Danio rerio: one gene and its partners. The protein of the gene in region 1 purifies or fractionates together with the protein of each later gene. This does not show direct contact. Links are inferred from orthologs where the notes say so. Each region holds a gene or a part of one and is shown in the gene's direction. Other genes may lie near its edges.

Region 1 (4,168 bases):
AATGTTACGTTTACACACACACACATACACACACACACACACGCACAAATTACATTTCAACGCATCAATTTTTTCCAGCATAATACTCACTACTCTTGAGTACTTTTATAAAGGTTACTTTTTACTTATACTTTGAGTAATATTTACAACAGATAACTTTACTCTACTTGCACTATATTTTTGGGCAAGTAATGGTACTTTTACTTGAGTATGATTTTTCAGCATTCTTTTTATCACTGGCAATTAATTTGTCCGGTGCCTGATTTGACAATTTTTTTTCTCATCATAAAGCCAAACTTAATAATTTATGTAAATATAACGATACAGTCAAAAGAAATGACAGGCCTGTCAAATTTTAGTATGTCATTAAAGAATCTCAAAAAACTAAAGAATCTCAAAATGTTTGGAACAACTTATTTATTGAAAAATAAAGGAAAACTAAACACACAATCCTGAGGTGTTCCGATATTTACAACCTTACATTTTATACGTGAATACAGGCCCATAGGGGAGGTTTAAGTGGATCGGAAGACCCACCCCTCACTGACAAAGGTCCAGAATTTGTCCCATACCAAAGCTCATTTATCCCATTTTGACTGCTAAGCCATAATGAATTGTGAAAATAACACATCGAAAAAGTGTTTGAGCCCAAGCCGAATCCTGTTGGCTGTCGGTACAGAATTTGGGATACCGAATTTGGCAATTTTGATGCCAGAATCAGTGTATCAAATTCTGAATGAGAAAGTTGAATGTGCTGGCCAGTTTGTTATTTGTCTCATAAATGATAATGGGCTACACTTTTTTTTTAAAAACAGATTCTTATTTTTTCCAATGATATTTGATGTTATAAATTTCATTCATTTTCTTGTCAGCTTAGTCCCTTTATTAATCCGGGTGTGCCACCATGGAATGAACCGCCAACTTATCCAGAACATGCAAACTCCACACAGAAATGCCAACTGACCCAGCTGAGGCTTGAACAAGCGACCCTCTCGCTGTGAGGCGACAGCACTACCTACGGCACCACCTTTATTAAATTTGTATTTTTAAAATAAGCATATATTTTTGTATATATTATTGTATTATTTCTTTATTCCAAATCTCTTTTTTTGTTACATCAATGTTTTGGAACATCAAAAAGTGTGACCATGCGAAAAGCTGATCCAGAAAAAAAGTGTTTAAAATCCTATTTCGATAGGCTGGCTGCAGGCCTGGAATATGTATTTATTTTCCGTATGCGAGGCTATAATAAATACATTTAGATTATTCGATAGAGACTTTTATTATCGCGCCGTATGATTTCTACCCTTGGCGAATGACCCCGCAGCGCTCAGGTTGATTAACCCGGAAGTACCCACGCATCTCACTGAGCACTCCGTCCGGTTCTGCGGGCTCAAGGGGAGAAGCGCTGAAGCACCATGGCTCTGCTCTAATCGCGTTTATTAAGACAAGTGTGATCAACTTACCGGCAATCCGTCACCATCCGCGCCTTAAACATGGACCTCCAGTCAAGAGGCTCGTCCTGGGGCCATCAGCTCTGTCGGCAGTAACATCTGAAAACTGTATTTATTCTCTTTTTCCCCCATACTGTCACTTTTTCTCGCCTTTGCACGCTACATGGGATTTAAACCTAAAGTGTCAGCCGCTAGCCAACACTTCTCCCTCTGTTTACCCAGATATTCCCGAGGAAACCAAGACGCCCTCCGTTAACAACGAAGAATAGCAAAAAGAAACTTTCCAGAAACACGTTGACGACGTCTCGCCCTCAAGTTTCCCCGTTTGTCTGCGGAGCCGGTGAGTAATCCTACTGCCTATGCTAACTTTGATAGCCGCGTTTAAACCGATAATCGCAGGGGCCAAGCGGGCCTAGATTGACACTGGCGACGGGTTTAATGCTGAGTTGTGTTCGCCTATCAAACTATTTTTTCCGTTAAACGCTCTCCCTTAAGTTGCCACTAATATCTGTGTAGTATTTTCTCCATGTTGGGTGTTATTTCCTCGGTTTTTCGCTATTCCAGTTTCACGCTTTCGTATTGCTCGTGTTTCGGGGTGTCAATCTGCTGACATATCGGGAATATAAATACACGAGACTATTTGACCCCGTAAGGTTTGTGTTAAAATGACATATGAACTGTTGATGAGTCGGTTGTTCTGTTGTATTTAAACGCATTTGTTTCCGTTAAACGTCTTATCATCTCGTGATGAATTGTGGGAATGCCAGCACGAGGACGGTGGAATAAGTTTGTCCGGTGCGTAATTTAACGTTTTTTCCTCATCAAAAAGCCAAACTTTACATTAAGTTGTGTATATATAACGATACAGTCAAAATAAACGACATGCCAGTCAGATTCCAGTGTGTCATTGATTTGGAGAGGGAAGCTAATAAGCTAGTGCGGGCGACTGCACACTTCCCCACACGTTTATTGAGGGCCCAGTTTGTTTTTGCTAAATCTACACATAGTTTCCGACGTGGGTTTATGTGTATAGCGTGTTGTTGATGTGGTTAACTTTTTTGTTCTAAAACGAAAAGCTTGTTTTGGTGGAGACCGCTGAGAGTATGTTAACGTGTCAGTGCCATATGGAGGAGGCTAGCGCTGTTAGCCGCGCCGGCAGAGCATCATGGCTGCGGTGTGACACGTCTGTAGGAGAAGCGCGCTGCTTCATCGCACTTTCGGGAACAGAGCTTGCAGGAAACTTAACATTTTGGAAATTACCCCATAATTTTTTTTTCTTTTTAACTGCATGCACTTTAGTGTTTATGTGGATAACCTGATTAAACATTTTCTGTTTTATGTTATTAACATTATTTTACTACGTTTTTATGTTGGAGTTTCGCTTTCTGCGTTAAATTGAGTATCTGGTCTCTTGTAATATTGTATTTGGTCCTCATATAAATCAGTCTACTGTACTGAATAGTTAAAAGGTTGATAACCACAGATAAGAAGTTTAATGCACACCCAAATCTGTGGAATGACGACCTCAGTTAACATTTACTTTAATGGTGTGGGGGATGGAAGTGAATGAGCGTGCAATGCATCATCGTTAGAGTAATGCTTAAGAAAATCTTTATTCTGTGAACATGAATAACTGACAACCCATTTTAAACAAAGCTTTTGGCTATTTTTAAGCTTGCACGTTTTGTGGATAACACAAAATGCTGGTGTAAATGGGCTTTGAATGGTTTGGTATTGTCTACCTTTGACCACCTCCAGAGGTTGTCAGATGCATTTGATTACAGATTTGTAGTGTCGCTTTTGTAGTGTAAATGCTCATGTGGTCAAAGCATTCAGAAATCCACAAAGCACAGCCTACTTTTCGCCTATTGACTTTTTTGTTACAGGATAGGGTGTAATGTGCTTTAAACTGCTGTCTTCTGAAATTGTAAGTCAATTGACTGAATAAAATGTAAAAGGCAGGACATACTTTGCAGCCTTGATTCTAACACAAATTTAAATAGTGTAGTTTTGCGCTTATTAGAGTAGCAGAAACAGTTGTTTATTTTCATTTTGCATTCATGCAGATGTATTATAGAAACATGGCTTCCTCTACTTTCATCCTTCCATGGCAAGGCGCCACACCAAAATTCACCCCGCCACTACTACGTTACTTCTCATTCAAAACATGTAGTTGTTGTTGGTTTTTGATAGCGGCATATAACCTCATCAAAACGTGTTAAAAGGTGAGTGAATTATAACAGCTCAAACTTTTCTGTAATCATAGGCCCAGTTTACACTAATGCGTTTTAGTTTGAAAACATAAGTTTTGCTATGGATATGCCATCCACACTACGCCAAAGTTTTTGAGTGCCGAAAACGGAGCGTTTTGGAAAAGCTTAAGAGGCCGTTTTCATCCTAAAATGCTGCTGCTTTGTCTCAGTGTTGATGGGGGAAAACAGAAACATCTGAAAACAGAGGCGGGGCTGCAGACATTCGCCTCTCTGATTGAGGCTTTTCCTTAATATTAAGTAGCCTACACACACCGTTCAGTTTTGCATCATCCCCCTGTAAGTTCAGACTACGCAAGTTTGATATAGAAAACAGACCCTTGACAACATGTTGAGAACATGTTGTTTCACTTTCTTAACAATAAAATAAAAACATGAAGGAACTGCTATCCGCTTGTTAAGTGTGACATCACGCGAAGCAGCTTCCGGGTCCAAGCACTCTAT
Region 2 (3,500 bases), on another chromosome or scaffold:
ATTTTCTCAATTTCTACTTTTCTACTTCAGGGTGTTGTCACCAACTTTGAGATCTTCAGGATGAGAGAGAAGCAGGTACCTGTTGATGTGGTGGAGATGAAAGGTAAAAAGGGGATTTTTTTGTTAAGAATTTAGAGGTGTTTTTCTTTTTATTACTGTCTTTACCTACCAATGCTTCATCTTACAGACAGCATTATTGCCTTTGCTTGGGAGCCAAATGGAAGCAAATTTGCTGTGCTACATGGAGAATCTCCTAGAATCAATTCATCATTCTACCATGTGAAGAGCAATGGAAAAATCGACCTAATTAGTGAGTGATTTTTAATGGATTTTTCTTAATAAATGTCAAATTTTCAGAATATGAAACCAAAAATGTGTTGTTTTTAGAAATGTTCGACAAGCAACAGGCAAACAGCATCTTTTGGAGTCCCCAGGGGCAGTTTTTGGTCTTGGCTGGACTGAGGAGGTCTGTTTACAATATATACTCTGCTGTATTAATGTTTCAGGTTTTAGATTGTTTTTTTTTTAACTTGTGCTTTTCTTATGTTTCACTCAATAGCATGAATGGAGCTCTTGCTTTTGTGGACACTTCAGACTGCACCATGATGAACATCGCCGAGCATTACATGGCTTCAGATGTGGAGTGGGACCCCACTGGACGATTCGTCGTGACATCTGTCTCTTGGTGGAGTCACAAGGTGATTTTAATATGGTCCAAATGAAAATTTGTTCAAGACGATATTTCCCTTTTTGCTGTTTGCATCAAATTAATCTTACAATCTATTTTATAGAGATAGAAATGCAAAATAGACAAAGCAGTAAGTAATGTAGATTAAAATATTGTATTATTGAAATTAAAATAAAATGTCAAAATATTATTTAAATAATGTTTCAACATCGTTCAAGTGCATTTATTCTGATTTGTTTGGTAAAATAAAAATAAACATAGAATAGATTAGAGAGACTTATAATGACATTTGATTTGTGTTTTGGGGCTTTCACTGTGATCTTTATCAGGTAAAGAACCATATAAAGTTACTTTATTAACATTGATTATATAAATAATAGAAGTCTTATAAAACCTACTAGAAACAAATTAGTATTTCAATGAGTGCCTTATAAAAAATAAACTGTATTTAACCCTTTATATGTCGTCAAATGATTGTTATACATTGTTTTAAAATTCAGTAAGGTGTTTTAAGAAGAGCATTTGTTTGCTAGGCATCCATTAAATGAATTAAATATAAAGACATTTGCCGTGTTGCAAAATGTGTTATAAATAAAAGGCTTTCCATTAATCAAATAACCTACTTGCAATTGCACCACATTAAGGTGCACTTCCTTTTCACGTTTTATGATGATATATATTTCCTGAACATCAGTTAAGCTTATTAGAAGGATTTCTGAGGGATCTTGTGATGAAGAATGGAGTAATGATGCTGAAAAATGACAGGATCAAATTGCACGTTAAAAATCAAATTAAATGTAAAAGATTTAGGTATTGTAAATCAAATGTTTCTTGTTTTGCTATAGGTGGACAATGCCTTCTGGCTGTGGACGTTCCAGGGTCGCCTGCTGCAGAAGAACAACAAGGAGCGTTTCTGCCAGCTGCTATGGAGGCCTCGTCCGCCCTCTCTCCTGACTCAAGAGCAGATAAAGGTGAGCTGAGGGGTCAGACGCAGGGTCACTCTCATTACTTCCTCAGCTCCCTTCACTGTCGACTCTAATCCCTCCTCGCCTTTCTAATCCCACAGCTCATTAAGAAGGACTTGAAGAAATACTCCAAGATCTTTGAGCAGAAAGATCGTCTCAGCCAGTCCAAGGCTTCAAAGGTATGCATCTTTATTATTACTTTCAAATGATTATTTTTATTTTTACCACACTAGGATGCACACATTTTCAAGTTGAGTGGTCCTCTTTAGATTTGAGTGTCTTGTGCTTTATAGGAACTGGTGGACAAGAGACGTACCATGATGGAGGAGTATCGCAAGCACCGCAAGAGAGCCATGGACATGTACCAGGAGCAGAGACCTCTCCGCCTCGAACTCAGAGGAGGTAATGATGTCCAATGTCGAGTTTAATTCATCCATCAGCAGCTTGCTCAGAAAGCACAGGGTTTCAGTGCACTTCTCTTTTCTCTAGATCAGGTTTTTTGTGATTATTCCACGTTGCCTAATTGCAGTTTCTTGATCTAATCTTGATCATTATACTCAGTTGCAGTCAGTTTAATTTTTAGTTATGCAACCTTGTTGTTACTCACCCTAGCTAAATACATTTAAAAAATATATAATTTAGTTAAAAAAAGGTTTGTGTACGACTAGTGTTTGATTGTTTTGCACATTTTTTTATGTATACAGCTAAGAAATAACTTCATTTTATTATTATTATTATTATTAAATTTTTTTTAAAGCAGGTACAAATCTTTTTAACTAGCCTAACTGGGTCATTAGAAAAGAATCCATAGTGTTTAGCCCTGTATAATTCAGAAATTTCATTCATGATGGTCTTAGTCTTACTTGTGACTGGATGAAACGTGCAAAATACAGATTGCTTTTGTAAAGGTGAAGCAGAAAGTGACGAAATAATAAAATATCTTGACAAAATTCAAACACAGGTGGTCATGAGATGCATTTGAACATGTTGATATCAGTTGGAAATGGTAGTGCGTTTCAGCTGGACATTTGTGATCAGTTCCATGTGAAAAATGTTATGTTTGTAGCGGCCCTTTCTTAGAGGTGTACATATGTTGAATGGGATTTTAGTCCTCAATGGATTTTTCTATGCTTTCTAGGCGTGGACACTGATGAGCTGGACAGCAATGTTGATGACTGGGAGGAAGAGACCATTGAGTTTTTCATCAATGAAGAAATTATTCCCATCGGAGATCTGTAATTGCAACAGCAGGTAATGTGTGCAGTGTTATGGCACATCTTTGACATACCTTGGCACGGTAATACTGACCTGATGTTTTGTTATCTTCAGAATTCGTTTTTACTGGAGTGTGGACAAGCATTGGAGAAAAAATTGAGGGATCACCCTATAAGAGAATTCCTTGTTATCATCAGTCAAGTGCCTTTTAATACTGGTCACTGGGGAAGGAGAATTTTGTGCCACTGTTGACTGCTGCTTTTTAATAACAAAAATCATCCAGCTCTGAGAGGAACCGCCCTGCCAACATCATTCTGGCCTGCTCTCGGTGGATCTGATCATAACACGTTCTTGTTCCTGCCGTCGGTTGATCTACCTCATCAAAAGGGTGTCACCATGGCACAATATGCCATAAACTGTTTTTACATCATCTCACTGAAGGAAAACATTTCATTTCCTAAGGTTTTCCCAAAGGCAAACTTGTACTCTAGTGTGCGAAAATGGCACTACAGTGGTCTGTATCCTCCTCCATTCAGATTACCTGATATTAAATGCACAACAAGGGAATAAAGTTTAACTGAAATCCAAACTTTTGTTGTGTTTTTTTTTTTTTTCTTCTGTTGAAGCAAGCT
Region 3 (4,069 bases), on another chromosome or scaffold:
GAGAAAGTCAGAATGTGTGAATATAAAACCAACTTTACCTCTATGTGTAAGTTAACGTTGGCTCCGTCTGCTTTCCTTGTCTTTGGCCAAGCAGAACCTCTGTTTTTAGCACTACATAGTTTTGAATCTGGTAATCATGGAACATTATTTCTTACACTTATTTCTTAATCTTGTTAAAACACTTGGAGCTTCGATGAGAGAGTTGTATATTTGGGGCAGGATGCTTGGCCATTTCGTCTTATCCAATATTCATTGGGAGGGTGCTTTCGCGACTCACATCACTCACTTTAACGTTAATTTTGCCAAATCACTGTACTTATCACTGGGTGACAAGCTGTTATAATACGTTGAAAGCATTATGTAAATCATGCATATATATATATATATATATTAAAAAAAATAATATATATATATATATATATATATATATATATATATATATATATATATATATATATATATTTATATATATATATAATAATATATATATATATATATATATATATATATATATATATATATATATATATATATATATATATATATAATATGTAATCAGTATAACTTACTTCTAAGTCAACAAACTCCGCATCGGATGTCATTCCCTCGCTGTAAATGCTAGCGCTCCCCTTTTTTTTCTGCCACTCCCTGCGCGCGCATCCTGAATGTTTAAAAACATGGTAATTCGTCTATAAGGTTCCTTTAATAGCATCGATGTTGTAATGTAATTGAAATACAATCAGTTTAATAGACTTAATCATTTATTAAGTTGTTTAAGTGTAAAACGAGATGAACGATTGCGTAAACGCAAGTGTCATCAGTAGAAGCGTGCTAGTGCAGAAACTCCACAGAAAATACATTTCCATATTTTAAAGACATAACGCAAGAAATCAACTTAATGCAGTACTTCTTGTCCAGTCTAGACCAACTTTATTTCATATATCAATCAGGAAGTAAAGATCACATTAAAAAAAAGAATTCAGATCTTAAAAGTCAATGTACATATACTCAATTTAATTGGACAAAATCAGTAGTGCAGGATGAGTCAATATTTTTGTTTGTTTTCTAGAAGCCGCACTAGATCACACACACTACACAATCTAATAAAAGTTACAGTTAGCAAACAAATGATTGTCTTGAACTAATACACAATCTAAAAGCCACAAAACGACATTTTATTTGATTGTGTGTTAAAAAAATTAACAATGTCTGATAATGGTATTCCTCATGGTACTGCACAATTTACTTGTTTGTAAAATTTCCCTACCGTCCATCGGTGGACCTTTATTTTGAAATTTCCGGAAGTCTTGGTGCAGTGAGTTGAGCTTCACTCTCTCGTTCCCCTCAGCGACTCTGACATCATGGCGGACGCCGATTCTTGGGGTGAGAATTTCTTAAACTCCACCGTTATCTTTCTCTTCTATTCGCTTGGAAACATATAATCTTTTCTACCAGATAAACGTACGCCAAAAATACGCCTGTCATTAAGTGATCTGTCTGAACAATCGGTCGTTTTCCAGATGCGGACAGTTTCGAGCCTGAGGAGCCCATCAAAAAGGCGGCAGTTCATGACAAATGGGAGGGCGAGGATGAGGACGACGACGTGAAAGTTAGTAACGAACCCTTAATTTGTCGTTCTCAAGTAAAAAAAACTGTTTTAACTCTTCTTTAATCCCTACATATCAAGACATTACAGTTGGCTAACTTTAGCTAGCTACTCTTGCTAACTCAAGAGTGTCAAAACAACGTGGTGATAAGTCCTAATACGTGTCTATTTAGTTTGGTGTATACCTGCTTAAATACGCTGTCATAAGTTAAACAGTGAAATTATAGTAATTATATGAGTCAGTTCCATTTCTCTAGGCCTTTAATTACAATTAATAGTTTTGTTAGTGTAGATGGCCTTTTGTAGCAGCATGTCACTGTAGATTGTCACCTGTTGATTATTTAAAATTATTGGATCATCCCAAGGAGATTTCATAAAAGGAAAGTTTGAGAATGTTAATGCTTCTCTTAGGCTAGCAACGAAGATGAAGTGGACTAATTTATTAATTAAAAGTATTCTTCCTTTCCATTTAGGATAATTGGGATGATGATGAAGAGGAAGAAAAGGAGGAAGAGGAGGAAAAAAAGACAGGTACAGTGATGTTCATGAGTTGGGGGAAAAGTGCATTGTTAGGATAAAATGGGGTCAAAGGCCAAAAAGGATTTTGAAGCATCAAAGCATATGTTGCGCAGTGACCATGAGGCTATCAGTGAAGAACAATAATAATTTGATGATATATTAAACTATTTAAGCAATCACGTTGAAGCCTCAAAATACTTACTGTCATTTTTAATCTTTGTAATTTCGCCTTTGTCCTTTAAACCAAGTTCAATTACTTATAAAGCAAGTTTTTAAAGTACATAAAACTAACTTTATACAAAGCAAAAATTATTTAAAAATTTTTTTTTTAATAATAATAAAGTATTGAGAAACCAAGAGAAATACTAGAACTACTAGGTTTTATCTATTAGTATCTATTTACCATAGATTTTAATACTTTTAAAAATTCATAAAGTTTAAGTTAATTTGTTTTAAGTACAGGTCAAAATAAGTATACATTACACTAAATGACGAGAAACCCTTTTCACAATATTTCGACATGCTTTTTTCACAAATAATATTTGAAATATTACATCATCTCATTTGACATGCTAACTGTGTATATCTGCACACCAAAATGGGACGTCTGTTATGAATTTTTTTATTTTGTAGTTGGCTCTATAACTAAATAAATCTACATGCATGAATATACAAACTATTTTAAAAATATTTTTTTAAAAGACTGTAAATTATCCACATTTAAATTCACATAATTACAAAGCATCTGCAGGGTCCTAAAAGTCTTAAATAGTCTTAAATTTCAACTACATTTTAGGCCTTAAAAACTCCTAAATTCACTCAAATATTGTGTTTTAGGTCTTAAATAATTTTAAACAGGTCTTAATTTTGTTTTGTCCAAGTAAAGTTACTCAACCGAAATCCATCCAATCATCCACAATGTGTCTCAATAAAACCTTATTTTTTAAATTAAAGTTTTTTTTATTGCAAAAAGATACATTCCCAACAGCTGTTAGCCATTTCTTACAGAAAATTCCCCAAATTAAATGGCCTAATCAGGAGAAAAAAAAACTAAAAATGATTACTCAATTCCTCAGGACAATACCAGGCCATTAGGATAAATCTCAACCCTGCATAAGTCTAAAATGTCATTCTTAATGTCTTAAAGGGGTCTTAAAAACTCTTACATTTGAATGGATGAAACCTGCAGAAACCCTGATCAGGTACTTCAGTTTGTAACGTTTGTATGCGATTTTGTTTGGATTTTTCATATGCAGAGGCTAAACCTACAGAAAAAAAGAAACTCAGTGAAAAGATAAAAGAAAAGGAAAATTTACAAAGGAAAAAACAAGAGGAGCTCAGAAAACAAGTAAGTTGGCGCAGTAACAATTTATTGATATTAAGCACATTTAATTCACATTGTGGGTTTTTATTTTTTTATTTTGCTGTCACTGTTGAAGTTTATCTTGATATGGCTACAAACTTTGAACTTGTATTATAACTATAACCATTCATGAAGGATTTTGGGGTAAATATATCACAGTTTTAACAAAAAATATATAGCTGATTATAAAACATTGATGATAAGTGTTTCATGAGCAGCAAATCATATTAGAATGAGGATCATGTGACTGCAATAATGATCCTGAGATTTTGAGTTTGACATTTCAGGAATAAATTAGATTTTAAAATATATTATAGTACAACAATTATTGTAAATGCTATTCATTTTGTAAGAATATTTTTCATTAAATGTATACAACATTACATTTTTAAAGCAGTTAGAGGAGACAAAAAGAGACACACCACTCACACCAGAAGATGAACTGGCAGAGAAACTCAGAGTGAAACAACTACAGGAGGATTCAGACTTAGAACTAGCAAAAGAGGCATTTGGTGAGTGCTTTCTGTATATAACATGCATCTACATTTGTTTTTAAAACGGATAAAAGATTCAATTCTGAA
Region 4 (3,500 bases), about 11 Mb from region 1:
GAATTAATGGTTCTGCTTTTCTTCAAAGCACTTGAACGCACCAACCTCATATACTATTTGAGAAGTTTGGAATGGGGACTTTCTGACATCAAATGCAGCCAGCAAAGAATGTTTGTTCCCACTTAATTTTCAAACAATTCTTTCCGTGTTTTTTTTTTTTTTTTTTTTTTCAATCATTTGAAGCAACAATTACCCCCTCTTTGATGCAATTTGTCAATCTAGGTTTTTCCTGTCGCACAGTGGGTGTTAAAGTTGTAGAATTTTTATCAAAAGGAAATTGTTATTGTTTTAGATTTTTCTTCTATATTATCATTATTATTATTATTTATATATTTTACCTTGTACATTTATTGCTGTTAATGACTTAATTCTTAGAATATTTTTACTTGATCTATTTTCATTTTGCCATTACATAGCCATAGACGCTAAAATGGCAATAAAATTAAAACTCTCTCTCTCACACAGTGTGTTATTACATAAATTTTGAAGTGAGATTAATATCCAAAAACAAGTGACATGCATGTGTACATGCATTGTCATCAGACCTTCCGCATTTAAATCAAGGCTGCACTTAAATCTTGCTTTTTAACTGGTCATTTTGAGGTTGTTGGACTTCATGTTAAGTTCTCAATATTTGTTACAGTCTGTCCTTAGTTTGATTAACCTTTTTTTCAAAATCTTTTATCTTCTTTAACCCTCAAATGGGATCAAGGTAGAGTAAGCTATAGTTCTTGTCAGAGATTTGGTGGAGAATTCATACAAAGTTTTAGTGGACTTTGTGCAGTTATAAAAAAAAATGCTACCCCTGACTAACATCTTGGAAATAAAAAATCAACAAACTTTGATTGATTGACATCGCAGAATATAGAAAGTGATAGCTTAACTTGATGTCTACTCCAAATAAATGCAATAGCCTTAAGTTGGAGAATTTCTAATATTGAAGTAAGATGTTCAACATTTAAGTGTAATCAATCTGATTCTCATTGAATCTCATATACATTGTTTTACAGAGCAACTGGAATGAGATTACGGACAATTTCGATGACATGAACTTGAAGGAAACTCTCCTTCGTGGAATATATGCATATGGTTTTGAGAAACCCTCAGCAATTCAGCAGAGAGCTATAATTCCCTGCATAAAAGGTAAAGTGAGCTCAAGTTACAAATAGTTTTTAATTACCTCTCTGGTAATCAAACTGTACATATTGATCCGGTTTTAGTATTGCTCATCTCTTTGTAGACTAACAGTTAAGTAGTTTCCATTTTTGTTGTCCTTTTATTGATGCTTGATTTCTCCATAGGTTATGATGTTATCGCGCAGGCCCAATCAGGGACTGGTAAAACGGCCACGTTTGCCATTTCCATCCTGCAGCAGCTGGAGATTGAGCAGAAAGAGACTCAGGCTCTGGTCCTGGCACCAACCCGAGAGCTCGCTCAGCAGGTATGCTGTACCTGAGCTCACAATAACACAATAAGATGTGTGTCTCAGACCAAGGCGGCATATTCTGGCAGTAGCCAAATTCAAGGTACTCTTTTGCTGTTCTTCCTGCTTTATCAGTCAATAAATGTGGATTTTGTTTGTAATTTGCATAATTTGATCATCTGTTCAGCAGGAAGCAGTCATCCATGTAGTTTTTCGGGCAGATTAATCGATCAATCATTCTTTAATGAGCTGGATTATTTACTGCTAGTGTTTGGAAATTAGGTTGTTAGACTGCCAGGTGATTTTTTTTGACAATTATTGTAACTGTATAGAGCTTTGCACAAGTATGAAATGATGGTATGACTATCTTTCGGGACTGACCTTTTGTGGAGAAGACCTTTTCAACTGATCATACTTGTCCAGTGCTTTGCATTAATGGTACACAGTACTTGTGTTTACTAGGTGTTCCTTTCATTTAAACTCTGCATTTTTGTCTATGCTTTAGATTCAGAAGGTAATCTTGGCTTTGGGTGACTACATGGGTGCTTCATGCCATGCCTGCATTGGAGGCACCAATGTGCGGAACGAAATGCAAAAGCTCCAGGCGGAGGCTCCGCACATTGTGGTTGGCACACCAGGCCGTGTGTTTGACATGCTGAACAGGCGGTATCTGTGTAAGTAATCGATACACATAGATTTAGTCTGAAACAACATGCAGGGCAAAGTATGAAGTGATGGCATCATCTTTCGGGACTGACCTGTTATGGAGATAATCACTAATTTAACTGATCATACTTTTTGACCAGCTTGTTTGAGCTGTTTAAGCGTATAAGAAGTAAAATACGTAATGTTGTTTACTTCCAGCTCCCAAATGGATCAAGATGTTTGTCCTTGATGAAGCTGATGAAATGCTGAGCCGTGGCTTCAAGGATCAAATCTATGAGATTTTCCAGAAATTAAGCACAAACATTCAAGTAAGTCTAGAATCTTTATAGACCCCTTCTGCTCAAAAGAACTGTGCTAAAATTGCAGACTCCAGGGTCTCCTGGTTTATGCGATGATGCTAGCAGAGTATCATGCGGAAGAAGAGCAATGGCTCTGCGCTGGAAATGAAACTGAGTTGGACCTCTTTCTTAATGTCCAGTGGCTTATGTTTCAAGGCTCAGAGCAACAAACATATTGATTGGAACACATTGTGGAAGAAATACTAGCATCACTATTTTTCTTTTTCTTTCATAATGGCAGAATCATAATCAAATTAACTCTTATTAAAACTGTGTTGAATTGCAAGATAATACATATCAATCTTGAGCTGCACAATATTGTGTTCCACCATTAGTTGTTGTACTTGCACATGCCATGTAATATGAATGCAGGAGATGTCAGTTTTCACTGCTTGTGCTTTTGTAGTTCACTAAAAGACCATATCTACCCATTTAAAAAAAAAAAAAAAAAAAAAGCTTTTTTAAATGGTTGTTTTCAGGCCCCCAGAGTGCCGTTTTGTGAATGAATGTCTCAATCTTGTGCATCTTTTATTTCATATGATCATGTAAAGAACATGGTCATCACAGGATTCATACTAGAATATCTTGAATATAATGGAATTTTAAAATCTCCTTTTCAGACATTAAAAATATGGCTATTCCAATTCATGGGATATCAGGAACCTTTTTTTGCTTTTTAGTTTTTACCACTGTTAAACATTTTATTTTTTTCACATGTTTTGCCAACTGGTACTGTTGAGCTATTTTTCAGCGCCATTTGAATCCTTTCAAATTCATCATTTAAGTCAGTGGTTCCCAATTGGAACCTTACAAGCAAATTACCTTAAGTCACTGGAACTTAAGTCAAATGCAGTCATGAAGCTGTACCTGTTAACTGAAGCAAACATGCCAGGAAAATGTCAGCTTCAAGAACTTTGGCTACGAAATGGCCACTTCAGACAATTGGTCTTATGCTGTGTTCATGCCAGACGTGGATAAAGCTTCGAGTGCAAGTGATTTACATGTCAATTCAATGCACAGTTGCGATTAGGCTCTAGTTGGAAAATCTGAACTTAAGTGGACATTCGTGCTGT
Region 5 (4,114 bases), on another chromosome or scaffold:
ATTGGTGGTTTCCTAATTTAATATTTAAAAATAACTTTAACATTGCTTCATATTATCTTATGCAGATTTTATTATATAATGAACTTCATTCATTAATTCATTTTCTTGTCGGCTTAGTCCCTTTATTATTCCAGGGTCGCCACAGCGGAATGAACCGCCAACTTATCCAGCAAGTTTTTTATGCCAGCCGCAACCCATCTCTGGGAAACATCCACACACACACATTCACACACGCACTCATACACTACGGACAATTTAGCCTACCCATTTTACTGCATGTCTTTGAACTGTGGGGGAAACCCACACAAAGGCAGGGAAAACATGCAAACTCCACACAGGAACGCCAACTGAGCCGAGGTTCGAACCAGCGACCTTCTTGCTGTGAGGCGACAGCACTACCTACTGCGCCACTGCCTCACCTGTATAATGAACTTTTTATAGTAAAACAAAATTCATTTAAAACAGAATGGAGTTACACTAGTAAAGCTGCACCCTCTGCCTTGACTTGTTTATTTTCATTTACCTTTTTTTTGTAGATCAGCAATAAAATAATCAAACAAACCAAGGTTGCGTTAAATTAGAAATTAAGATCTCTGTTAAAGGCAATTGTCCCAACCCTCCCTATCAGTCTCTCTTCTCAGATGGGATGGTGGGCCAAATCAAAGATTATCAAGGGCCAAGTTTGGCCCACATGCCCTAGATTGGATACCTCTGGCCTAAATGATATGTTATTACAACAACTAGGCCTATAGCAAAACAAGTTGCCCAATAGCCTGTGGTTAGTTATATATTAGGCTACATGATAATACATCACAATTTACTGTTGTAAAACTAAAATATACTACAGTTGCCTACACAGTTTATTATAGATAATGCAGTAGCATTTATTAGCATGTGTTGTTAACTTAATACTTTATAGTATAGGCCTACAGTATAATAAACTTTACTATCATTTGTTTCAAAAACACTATCGTAGCCAATTTACTATGAATTACTCCATTATCTTTTCATGTGCGTTGTCTTGGCCATGTTTTCATCATGTCTAAATGTTTTGGATTGCTGCCATGTGGTTAGCTGATCCGATTTTTGGCATTAACATGCAGTTGTGTTGCTATTAAATTGTCCATTGAAAAAATGGATATGTACCAAGCAAACCTCGAAGAACTTTAACCTGACCCACCCACTAAAACTTTACATGCTGTGTTTAATTATTTATTTGATTATAATTTTTTACACATTATTTTGTCAGCCACCTACATCCGCTAGGGGGCGGCAGCGCGAATCCCACTGACGCGCTCTTCTTCTCTGTTTATCATCATCTTTTACTTCCTCTTCGAAATCATGGCGGTGCACGGCCCGGTCGTGAAAATCCACCCGGTGGTTTTGGCTTCGATTGTGGACTCATACGAGCGCAGGAATGAAGGAGCGAGTCGCGTGATCGGGACATTATTAGGTGGGTCATTGAATTCTTGTGTGAGATTTATGAGACAGTTGCGATTATTACAAACAACATGAGCGTCGCTTGGTCTTGTGGAGCATGTGTTGTAGTCGAGCTGAATGGCTGGGGTGGATGAGAAACTGTACAGATCAGCAGCATCACTTACCTGGTGGTTGTGTTTGTGTGTCAAACAGGAACAGCAGATAAACATTCAGTCGATGTCACCAACTGCTTCTCTGTTCCTCACAACGAGTCTGAAGATGAGGTGAGAAAAAAAGCATCATCTAATACATCCTTTACATTAGTGTGTGCCAGACATTTATGTAGCTTTTTAGGCATAACGAAAAACAAAACAATTTCACATCACAGGTATCTCACTGTAACTTTGTAATGGTCTAAAGGGTTCGAGTGAGACATCTGTGGTATTTCATGTTCTGTTGTTATGCATCTTTAGCTAATTGATTGGTTGAAATACACTTACAAACCATCAGCCAAAATTGAAGTGAGGTAAAGTTGATTTTATATTTGCACATTCAGACTTTCACCTTCTTAATGTAATTTCAGAAAGGTATTCTTTGTCAAATCCTAAACGGTCAACTCAAATTAACAGCCAGTGACTATTAAAGTACAACATTGTTTACAGTCAGTTAAATGGTGCTAATGTGGATTTAAAGTAGGCATGGGCCGGTATACAATTCTGACGTTAATATTCTTTAATATAAATATCACATTTTCACAGTATTACATAGTGATTACGGCTCTGCTAAATGGTAGCGCTCCAGTTTTTTTTTTTTTTTTTACTGTTTACAAACTGGTAATTCATCTATAGCAGATAATTTTGGCGGTTTTAAAACATCAGTTTTTTTTTTAAATCACTGTGTACCTTGAAAACGGTTATCGTCCCATGCCTATTTTGAAGTCATGCATTTCAGACCGATTATTCAATGTAGCCTGGTAAACAATGTAGGGACCTTTCATAGAGTTCATAAGCTTTTTTTTTTTTTTTTTAACTATAACAATTTGCTAATTTATCTGTATTAGCCTTTTCCCAGAGATGGGTTGCGGCTTGAAGGGCATCCTCTGCTTAAAAACTTGATGGATAAGTTGGCGGTTCATTCTGCTGTGGCGACCCCGGATTTATAAAGGGACTAAGCCGACAAGAAAATGAATGAATCTGTATTAGCCTCTTTAAAATTTGCTTTACTATTTTATTGAACACGAGTGTCTGAATGTTCAAATATAAAACCAACTTAATTCAAAAGTGTCATGTTACATGCTACTGTATTTTTGGACATGTACCATATGTTATTTATGCTTTACTAAGGAGCACCAGCATTTAATCATCATCATTGTGCAATTTATTTACCTTTTAAAATTATTTTTATTTTATTTTTTTTAAATAGGTGGCTGTTGACATGGAGTTCGCCAAGAACATGTATGAGCTTCATAAGAAGGTTTCGCCGAGTGAAGTCATTGTTGGATGGTATGTGGCCGCATTTCCAAATTAATATAATTCTTTTCTTTGCTAAAGTTTTGTTAAGTTATTGTTGTAAGCACATTTTTTGTTATATTTTTAGAAGGTTTAGAAACTTTTGTGAACATTTGTTATTTTTCATTTAATGCATTTTGCTTTGCGCTATGGTAAAATAACTAAAATAAGAAAATTAAATAAAATGATATTTTTTTCTCCTACAGTCCCATGATTTATTTTTGCAGCCATTTTAAATGTATATCTCATGTTTACAAGTTTATATTTCACAATTCAGATATTCATTTCATTTTCATTTGTTGTTCTTACAGTTCAGTTTATATTGCTACTCTTTTTTTTAAGTATATTTGCCTTTTATTCCATTGTAAAAGCAAGCTTCCATTAGGCCTGTCACGATATATCTAGTTTTTGTTGTACGGTATATTGCACCAAAATACATTGCGATAAATGATTTTATTGTGATTTTAATACCATTCTATGCCACTCATTATATAATACCAGAATGACAATATAATATCACCACAATGCAAGTACACTCATACAAAGAACACATAATATTTTATTGTTAAGACTATTTAATTTAGTTATCCTATGGCTTTGGAATGAGATTGTAAAAACGCATATCATAAATAATAATAAATGTTAACAAAAAGGTGCAAGGCAAAAAGTAACAGAAGCTGTGATATCTGCTAGCAGATCTATTTTTAGTTGTCAGACACCCACATGAAAATCTTCTATAGCAATTTATAGTAAAACCTGTAGAGCTTTTTAAACCATACTGACACCTCAATAGAGATCGAGATGTTGCAAAACCAGCTGAAATGTTGCTAGAATTCATTTTTATGTATGGGCGATATATATTGCATCACTAAAAATGTCTGAGGTCATGTCAATATAATATGACACGGCTTATCAATGCGATAAGTTCATATATTGATTACTGTGACAGGGTAGCTTCCATAATGTAGGTTATATCTATATATCAAAAAAGAATAATTATACAGGTAACAGAATTATTAGAACTTAAAATGGAAAATATTACAAAAATGACTATCTAAAATATTTCAAAATATAATAATAGAATCTGATTTCAGATAAACTTAAGGAATGTTGTTTCACTGAAGAAAGAGGCTGTGTTGTTTTTGCAGGTATGCCACAGGATTTGACATCACTGAGCACTCGGTTCT
Region 6 (3,500 bases), on another chromosome or scaffold:
TTTAGATGAACACATGTAATAATAAAATGTTAAATAACATCATATAGTATACATAAATGCAATACATTTTCCTTAAAGTTAAAAATCTAATTTATTTTGCCTGATTACTTTTAAACTGAATTAAACATAAAAATGATAAATGTTACAAAAAACATCACAAATCATGAGTGTTTTCCAAAATCTGATCAATAATAATAATACAGATTTAACATTGCAGATCTTGTGATGTGACTATTGCGGGAGCGCACATTGCAATATCAATGGTAAAATGATATGTTGTGCAGCCCTAGTTTACATGTACAGTAGTAGTGCATCGTAGTGGATGGGAAAATGATGCAATGGTTCTATATGCTTCAACGTCCAATTTAAAAAGCATGTCTCTCTCTCTCTCTTTTTTTTTTTTTCTTAAGTATGCTTGTGAGATTGACCAAATTCTTTCATAAATTTTAAATGTGGCAAAATCAAAGCGAGATGATGGGATTGTTGCTGCTTGGTGAAAATAAAGCCCTTTCACATCAATCACAATATAAACCGAGTTCTGAAAATTGTTCTGTATCTAAAACAACAGCAAAGTTTAAACCACAATTTAAGATGAAGAAAAAGAACACAGCACTTCAGTAGTCATAAACTTGGATTCTGTAGCAGATTTGTGTAAAAGGAAAATAGTTTGCTATATAATTTTTGTCAAATACAAAAAAATGATTGTAAATTGATTTGTTCGTAGGTTTGTGTATATTGCAATAATGTGGACGACTTTTCTAAGCACTAATGACTAGGAAAAAACCTTACTCTTGGAAGCAGCCACACATGAAGTGTTTCTGGGAGATTATGGCATGAGATTTTTACAGATGAACATTGGATTTAGAATTTCTGGATGAAAAGATCCTCTTTTTGTAAGTTATGCAATGTAATATGACCTCAGGAGTCAGTTCCTACAAATAAATGCATAAGCATATCTTTAAAGAATGATAATAATATACTTCTGTATGCTAGGTGACCTATAAGTGCAATATTTTCATTTTAAAACCCAAGTATCTCCTTTGTGCATAAAAAAAGTTACTTTGTATGGAAATTTGTGATTGACATAAGTGTTTTCAATTTGAAATATTAACATGCACAATTATAGGTAATGAAAACACAGCTAATATTTGCTTGCACTTTTTAAAATCTGTCAGGAACGACATGTGGTGATTGCTACATAGGCGGACATGTTTCTTATCTACAACTCAAAATCACTTAAAGGAATGGTTCACCCCAAAATTAAAATTTCTCCTTCTTTTAATCACACTCGAGTGGTTCAAAAATGTTTATAATTAATTTATTTCTTGTGTTAAACACAAAATGAAACGCGTATTCTGGAAACTGTTGGAAAAAGCAGCCATTGAAATCCATAGTAGAAACCAAAAAAGGTTTACCATTGAAGTTAATGGCTGTTTTTTTTTTTTTTTTTTTTCTTCAACATTCTTCAATACATCTTCATTTGTCGATGAAATAAACCGAAACACTCACATTATCAGACAATAATATAATGTAGATATTTATACATATTTGAATTGGCATGGAAGTTTATCTAGTAAAGCCTGTACACTTATAGCTTATTAAGCCTTTCACATGTTGGTTAGGTTAGGTTTGGTTTCTGTTTCTCAGCTCAGTATCAGATTAGCTCTTGTGGTCAGAGCCCTGCACGAATCGAGAAATGATGTCATGCTACTGTGAATTAAATGAACCTGCCTCTGTTTTGGGGAATTATTTCATACTAGACATAACCCTGTCATAGCATGACAATAACATGAACAGTGGCTAAAGCATGAGGCTAAAGAGTCGCACGGTTTCTGTTCTGCTTTTCTTCCTATACATCAGTTTTTTTTTTTTTGTGTGTTCAAAAGTATGTGTTTTGCTTCTGTAGGTGGTGCTGGGGGTAAAGGTGTTTGGGGAACACCTGGAGAAGTTTATGGCGAAGATGAAGTCGATTATAAAGATCCCAATTACGATGCAGAGCAGGTATGACCCACATTGTACTATTGCTTTCGTAAAAGTTCGTAACCAATTAATTGGCATGTAATCCACAATTTTGTGCCTCCAGGAAAACTGTGTATACGAGACGGTCGTCCTTCCTCTGGATGAAGAGGCGTTCGAGAAGACGGTCACTCCTATCGTGCAGGAGTACTTTGAACATGGAGATGCCAATGAAGTGGCGGTGAGATTGTTATGACCCCTATTGCTTGTTCATATCTAATCATTAAGCTTGTTTACGTGCATGCCAATGTGCTGATAAGCAGCCCAGACAGAATTTGCTGACTTGTTTTGCTATTTCTGTGCAGTGTTTGGTTAAAATATTGATGCAAAATGATTTTTAAAGTATTAGATCTGAAAACTTGACAAATAATTATTAAAAACTTTTATTTACTTAACTAAAATATTAACATTTGCTTAACAGGTTTTATTTAAGCCTTACAATGCAATTCCATTTGCAAACACTTATTTGTAAGCAAAGCAGGTCTCTTATATACATGGTGTCAGGTGGGTCTTAAAATGTCTTAAATTTCTATAACTAAAACTAATAGGCCTTAAAAAGTCTTAAATTCACTGAAATATGGTGTTGTAGGTCTTAAAGACTTTTTAGCAGGTCTAAATTTTTCTTTATTTTCCATATAAAGCTACAATCAAAAATCTATCTGAAATTTACAAATGTGGTTTAATTATCTTCCTTACATCCTTACAATAACATTAGTTTAAAAGTTCTTATTGTATTTGTGCATTTTCTTTCTTTCTTTTTTTTAAAGAAAAGTTATGGTAATGAAAATATGTATATAGGTCACTAGAGTTTGCTTGTTTTGACGCATAATTTAAAATATTTTCCTAAGAAATAACAAAATTTTTATTTTATTGAGGCAAGTAATAAAAAAATTCCACTGGCCATTACAAAAATTCCATAGCGTTTTGCCCTCTAAAAGTCTGAAATCTAATTTATAATGGTTTTAAAAATGTCTAAAATATGTCCTAAATATGACTTGAAAAGTGAAACCTGCAGAAACTCTGATGTAATACATCCACTAAAAGACTTAAAATTACAAATTCTATTGCACAAATCATTTAAATGTGCCATAGAGTGCATAGATTCAGATGTTAAATTTTTCATCATAGTAGTTGTGTCTTAGGCCCCGTTTACACTAGTGCGTTTTAGTTTTAAAACGGTGTTTTAGAATGAAAACGATTCGCATCCACACTAGCGTTTCACCCAGCGTTTCTGAACAGCTCTCCGTCTTGCTCTCCATCAAAACCACTGAAAATGCACATCACGTGACCACACACACACACACTGGCATGCGCTGCAGCATATCTACCTGTATGAGAGCTGTGCTTGTTGGACTGCTCATCAAGGATCTCCCGCTGGATCTAATCTCACTATATTTGTTAAATGAGGTATTTAATTCCTCTTGTTATCTATATCTAATGACATATTCCCCGACTTTGGTCTTTTGAATCTATGACTTGTTCTC
Region 7 (4,266 bases), on another chromosome or scaffold:
GTGATCATAAAGGAATAACATAGAAAAAGTTGATAGCAATGCTAACAGGTAATGTACGGCTAAAAGGGTACAGAGTAAAAGGCGCCTCTCCTTATTTTTCCTTTCTTTCCCTAATTCTGATTATTGTACCTTGTTTGTACCTGCCAGCGGGGACTTCATTGCAGGCCGTGTGTCACCTGACCACGTCATTCTCTGGGCGTCGCACATAGCGGGCAGAGAGCACGGCATGCACGAGAAAGCGCTGTCCTGTGGTATGGTCTCTTCCAACTTCCTGTACCAGCGTAAAACAAACAAACAAAGGAGATTTTCCCCCATTTCATTAAGTTGTTGGTTTTCGTTAACAGTTCCAAATGTTTTTTTCCAGGACTTTGTTAATGTAACCTAAAAGTGATTGATAACTGCTTTGTTGTATGCTCTTTTTTTCAATTGTAGTGCTCTTGTATTTCAGTTGTGGAGCTTCAGTGATTGATTTATTAATTTATTTCTTTGTAATGTTTGGTTTTTGGTTACCTCCCCATGTAAATAATTGCATAAACTCTCTCATAATGCTTGCTTTTTCTTTAGAGGCCATAGAGAACTTCAAATGGGTACACCTCAGTGCTTTTTTCTTAAGCATAGCCTTTAAAGATCATATGTAAAGTGAGTTTTACGAAGCCATTAAAAGCTGAGAAATCTGATTTAAAACAGTTCAAGGATTGGCTAAAGTTTTTAATAACCATACCGTTTACACAGGATAAAGGCTAACCTGTTTGGGCTCGCTCCTCGATTGGTCCACAAACCGCTTGGAGCTGAGGCTTTTGCTGGCTTATGAGCTGTTCTGTCAGTCGGAGACGTTTAACATATGATCTTTAATCCTTAATGATGGTTTTCCTAGTTTAAAATCGACAGCTCAAGAAGTTAAACACTGAAACATGGACGTGCTTTGCTCGAGGTGTGGAAACCGGGTGATTCATCTCTGCTCTCTTCTCTTGTAGGTGGGCAGGTTGACTTCGACATTGCTCCTCGGAGGCAGCTTGTGTGGAATCCTGTCCTTAAACAACTATTAAAAACGTTATTCGGTCCTCTGGGGACAAATCCAGTGTCTAACCTTGTAAATAGCGAGGTGTTTCGTTTCCCAAGTTTGTCTTATTCTGTGCTTTGTTCAGATTGAACCTGTAGGTTTTGTGCTGATGTGTTCTTAAGTCTTGATTAGGAAAAGTGTCCTTTATTTTGTATTTTTAGTTCTTTTCCTGACGTTTTTGGATAAAGGGATTAAAAATTCTGAGAAAACCAATGTTTCTTTGTCGTGTGATTATTTTATACAACATTTATGACTAAGTTTTTTTAAAATATGTAATGTACATATAATAATTCAATATTATGCATTTAAAAGGTTTGAGATAAACAAACTAGATTTCCAGCCCTACAGCCAATGAGCGTGAAGCGACGTTGACGTATTTTGTAACCTTAGTGACGCCATCCCGTTCAACTTCCGGTTCTCCGCCATTTTGTGAATGGACGCCGTTGCCATCGACATTCTGAAATCAGACTAATACAAACGCGAATTTGAGCCGCATTAACACGATTTATAGGCATTTCGCTTCGGTTACGACCTAAGACGTTTTCGTCTGTAGAAACGACTGTAGCCGCGCGTGTTTTCGCCAATAGTTGATCAAATATGTCGGAGGAGCAGTTTCTGGGCGAAGACCCGACGATGAAGATGGAGGAAAATGATGATGGAGAAGGTTTCGGCGAAGAGCAGATGTCGGGGGATAATGGAGGACAGGGAGAAGCCGAGGGCTCCAAGATTGATGCCAGTAAAAATGAGGAGGACGAAGGGTGAGTTTCGGCTCCTGATGCACCATGGGAACAGACTGTAACCGAAGAATAAAATAACCTTGAGTTCATACATCGCTTCCCAATAGTAGTCGATTAGATGAGTAATTATCAACAAGGAATCGTTTTATATTAATTTAAAGTATTATAATCATTGCATTAATATTTGTGGTCATTATGCAATATTAATATCGTTATCAAAAGTGGCCGGTTGTGTAAATAACATGAATATGTGTGTCGGAGTATCGATTGATCGCTTTGCATACGTTTGTAGTAATTAATGTGGACTATCAATTGAAATGCTTTCAAAGCATTTGGTGATTTTAATGTAAATGAAGGTTTATTAAAATGTTTTCTATCTTTTGTTTAAAATATAACTTACTAGTCATATCCTAGTACAGGGTATCTGCTGTGTCTAAAATTGTCTTGAATCTCAAAAGCTAAATTTTAGGCTTTAAGAAGTCTAAATATACTGAAACATCGTGTTGTAGGTCTTAAATCTTTTTAACAGGTCTTAATTTTCCCTTGTTCATGTGTAGCGACCAAATCTAGCCATTAACAGCCATACATTCCCAATCTCTATAAAAGTCGTTTTAAAAATAACATTTATACCATAAAGTTATTATTACTTACAGTAACATTTGTTTAAAAGTTACTGCCAAGGATACTGACCTGACCTATATATTTTCATCAATAAATTATTATTATTGTATTATTAAATTTAAATACAGTGGACAAAAGGTAAAAATATTCAAATGAAAAAAAATCCTTAGCATTTAGCCTTGTATATTTCTAAAATTTCATTCATAATCTTCTTAAAAAATCTTAAATTTAACTTGTTGAAAGCGGCAGAAACCCTGTAATATTGTGTCATTTACATGCATTAACAATGATCAGTTAAATTTTTATTTAGTAAATTGATGAAAGAATAATAAATACTTTAACAGATGTATTGCCCGTCTCACTGTAAAGTGTTCCCTAATATTCGTTTGATAGTTCACCCTAAAATGAAAGACACTCAAATGGTTTCAAACCTTTTTCAGTTGAACACAGAAAAAGATATTTTGAAAAATGTTGCCAAGCTGTAGCCATTGACTTCCATAGCAGGAAACATATACTGTGGAAGTCAATGATTTCCAAAAATGTTCAGAATATCCTTTTTGTGTTTTTACAGAAAAAAAAAACTCATTGAGGTTTGTTCAAGTGGAGGATGAGTGAATGATGACAGAATGTTCTGTTTTGGGTGAACTGTCGCTTTAATGGACAGCTGCAAGTTGACTCATTTTCCAAATACATTTGCCTTTCAAATGCAGCTTTGTCAAATGTCAATTTGACAAAAGCATATTTTGAGAAACTCGGATTTAGAACTGAATGGTGTTTTTTTGTCTAGTATGCATAAATGAATTACTTTATGACAAAACAAGACTGAAATATAATCATCTATGGTCGGTTGCAGAAACTACTTAGACTAGTCATACAAGGTAGTCATTGTTTATATAATTATTATTTCCTATAAAGACTGGTCATAACTACAGGTATACACGTGTAATAGTCAATATGGAAAGTTAATAAACATCAATTATTTTGCTGCTAATCTGCAATGCTAATTTATTTTTAAAATGAAAATTAAATCTAATATTTATGGTTGTTTTAATTTTTGTAAGAAAATAATGAAATGCTTCTGTTAATCAACAGATTCTCTTGACTAGCCTGGAAAGATACTCCATCACAGTTACATTTTCAAATGCACATCATAGACCATTTTATGGGACGTAAACAAAAACAATAGTCCCAATGTATTTCCTGTTTTACATTTTTTATTTCTGTAGCTTTCGAGAATCCAAAAAGAGCCACATATTGATAAATGATGTTATGACAGCTATTTTATCAAGTTACGATTGAATTGCCTCTTGTTACAGTTATGAAATAGTTTGATAACATGCAGGAAATGTTCATGGGCCAATGACATGACCACATTGAAATGGTCTATAAGCGACTCAGACTCAAATGCAGCATTCGCGAAGACGGCATTCAGAAGAGCAGGATTTATTTACAGTGAACCGAGGTGCACTGAGTCTAAAAACACTGTTATCATGAGCTGCTTATGTTAAAAGTCACAGTGCTGCACATCACATTACATATAATTACAACCCAGTATTTGCTGTCTGACAAACATGCTAATCCATATCATGTTCTCAGGCATTTTTAGAATAAATGAAATGAAGTAACCTATTTACTCTACTTTGGTGTGTTAAGTTTATCCCTCCCGAGTTGAAATCTGATTAAAATCAGATAGAAATCACTCTAAAGAGATAAGTTTACCTCAAAATTAAAACGTTCTCACTATTTTCTCAAGCCTCAAGAGATTCCAAATCCAAACCTTTGAGTTTTTATCTTCTGTTGAACACAAAAGATGTTTTGAAGAATGTTGGAAACCTGTAACCATTGACT

What was found.
Region 2: the proteins of eif4g1a (region 1) and eif3ba purify together in Homo sapiens (affinity purification with western blotting; 7 studies listed by BioGRID and IntAct, with this or other methods). This does not show direct contact. The link is inferred for Danio rerio from reciprocal best matches to the Homo sapiens genes EIF4G1 and EIF3B.
Region 3: the proteins of eif4g1a (region 1) and eif3ja purify together in Homo sapiens (affinity purification with western blotting; 3 studies listed by BioGRID and IntAct, with this or other methods). This does not show direct contact. The link is inferred for Danio rerio from reciprocal best matches to the Homo sapiens genes EIF4G1 and EIF3J.
Region 4: the proteins of eif4g1a (region 1) and eif4a2 purify together in Homo sapiens (affinity purification with mass spectrometry; 6 studies listed by BioGRID and IntAct, with this or other methods). This does not show direct contact. The link is inferred for Danio rerio from reciprocal best matches to the Homo sapiens genes EIF4G1 and EIF4A2.
Region 5: the proteins of eif4g1a (region 1) and eif3f purify together in Homo sapiens (affinity purification with mass spectrometry; 3 studies listed by BioGRID, with this or other methods). This does not show direct contact. The link is inferred for Danio rerio from reciprocal best matches to the Homo sapiens genes EIF4G1 and EIF3F.
Region 6: the proteins of eif4g1a (region 1) and pdcd4b purify together in Homo sapiens (affinity purification with western blotting; 3 studies listed by BioGRID and IntAct, with this or other methods). This does not show direct contact. The link is inferred for Danio rerio from reciprocal best matches to the Homo sapiens genes EIF4G1 and PDCD4.
Region 7: the proteins of eif4g1a (region 1) and hnrnpd purify together in Homo sapiens (affinity purification with western blotting; 5 studies listed by BioGRID and IntAct, with this or other methods). This does not show direct contact. The link is inferred for Danio rerio from reciprocal best matches to the Homo sapiens genes EIF4G1 and HNRNPD.

What each region holds. Positions count from the first base shown.
Region 1 is NC_133177.1:19,167,769-19,171,936, forward strand, and holds the start of eif4g1a (eukaryotic translation initiation factor 4 gamma 1a), read left to right. Parts: upstream 1-1,368; 5' UTR 1,369-1,562; intron 1,563-1,676; 5' UTR 1,677-1,794; intron 1,795-4,168.
Region 2 is NC_133178.1:40,726,185-40,729,684, forward strand, and holds the end of eif3ba (eukaryotic translation initiation factor 3, subunit Ba), read left to right. Parts: intron 1-30; coding exon 31-103; intron 104-187; coding exon 188-310; intron 311-387; coding exon 388-466; intron 467-559; coding exon 560-698; intron 699-1,533; coding exon 1,534-1,659; intron 1,660-1,754; coding exon 1,755-1,832; intron 1,833-1,946; coding exon 1,947-2,055; intron 2,056-2,791; coding exon 2,792-2,892; 3' UTR 2,893-2,904; intron 2,905-2,982; 3' UTR 2,983-3,457; downstream 3,458-3,500.
Region 3 is NC_133200.1:34,325,564-34,329,632, reverse strand, and holds the start of eif3ja (eukaryotic translation initiation factor 3 subunit J-A), read left to right. Parts: upstream 1-1,269; 5' UTR 1,270-1,361; coding exon 1,362-1,383; intron 1,384-1,520; coding exon 1,521-1,609; intron 1,610-2,079; coding exon 2,080-2,137; intron 2,138-3,381; coding exon 3,382-3,473; intron 3,474-3,882; coding exon 3,883-4,000; intron 4,001-4,069. UniProt on the Homo sapiens protein: Component of the eukaryotic translation initiation factor 3 (eIF-3) complex, which is required for several steps in the initiation of protein synthesis.
Region 4 is NC_133177.1:8,053,991-8,057,490, forward strand, and holds part of eif4a2 (eukaryotic initiation factor 4A-II), read left to right. Parts: intron 1-1,010; coding exon 1,011-1,143; intron 1,144-1,301; coding exon 1,302-1,441; exon of another isoform or gene 1,442-1,526; intron 1,527-1,767; exon of another isoform or gene 1,768-1,838; intron 1,839-1,928; coding exon 1,929-2,097; intron 2,098-2,147; exon of another isoform or gene 2,148-2,218; intron 2,219-2,287; coding exon 2,288-2,397; intron 2,398-2,420; exon of another isoform or gene 2,421-2,599; intron 2,600-3,500. UniProt on the Homo sapiens protein: ATP-dependent RNA helicase which is a subunit of the eIF4F complex involved in cap recognition and is required for mRNA binding to ribosome.
Region 5 is NC_133176.1:11,701,863-11,705,976, forward strand, and holds the start of eif3f (eukaryotic translation initiation factor 3 subunit F), read left to right. Parts: upstream 1-1,314; 5' UTR 1,315-1,341; coding exon 1,342-1,453; intron 1,454-1,632; coding exon 1,633-1,703; intron 1,704-2,841; coding exon 2,842-2,921; intron 2,922-4,075; coding exon 4,076-4,114. UniProt on the Homo sapiens protein: Component of the eukaryotic translation initiation factor 3 (eIF-3) complex, which is required for several steps in the initiation of protein synthesis.
Region 6 is NC_133197.1:31,553,001-31,556,500, reverse strand, and holds part of pdcd4b (programmed cell death protein 4b), read left to right. Parts: intron 1-1,906; coding exon 1,907-2,001; intron 2,002-2,083; coding exon 2,084-2,197; intron 2,198-3,500. UniProt on the Homo sapiens protein: Inhibits translation initiation and cap-dependent translation. May excert its function by hindering the interaction between EIF4A1 and EIF4G. Inhibits the helicase activity of EIF4A. Modulates the activation of JUN kinase.
Region 7 is NC_133185.1:5,488,728-5,492,993, reverse strand, and holds the start of hnrnpd (heterogeneous nuclear ribonucleoprotein D0), read left to right. Parts: upstream 1-1,466; 5' UTR 1,467-1,657; coding exon 1,658-1,818; intron 1,819-4,266. UniProt on the Homo sapiens protein: Binds with high affinity to RNA molecules that contain AU-rich elements (AREs) found within the 3'-UTR of many proto-oncogenes and cytokine mRNAs.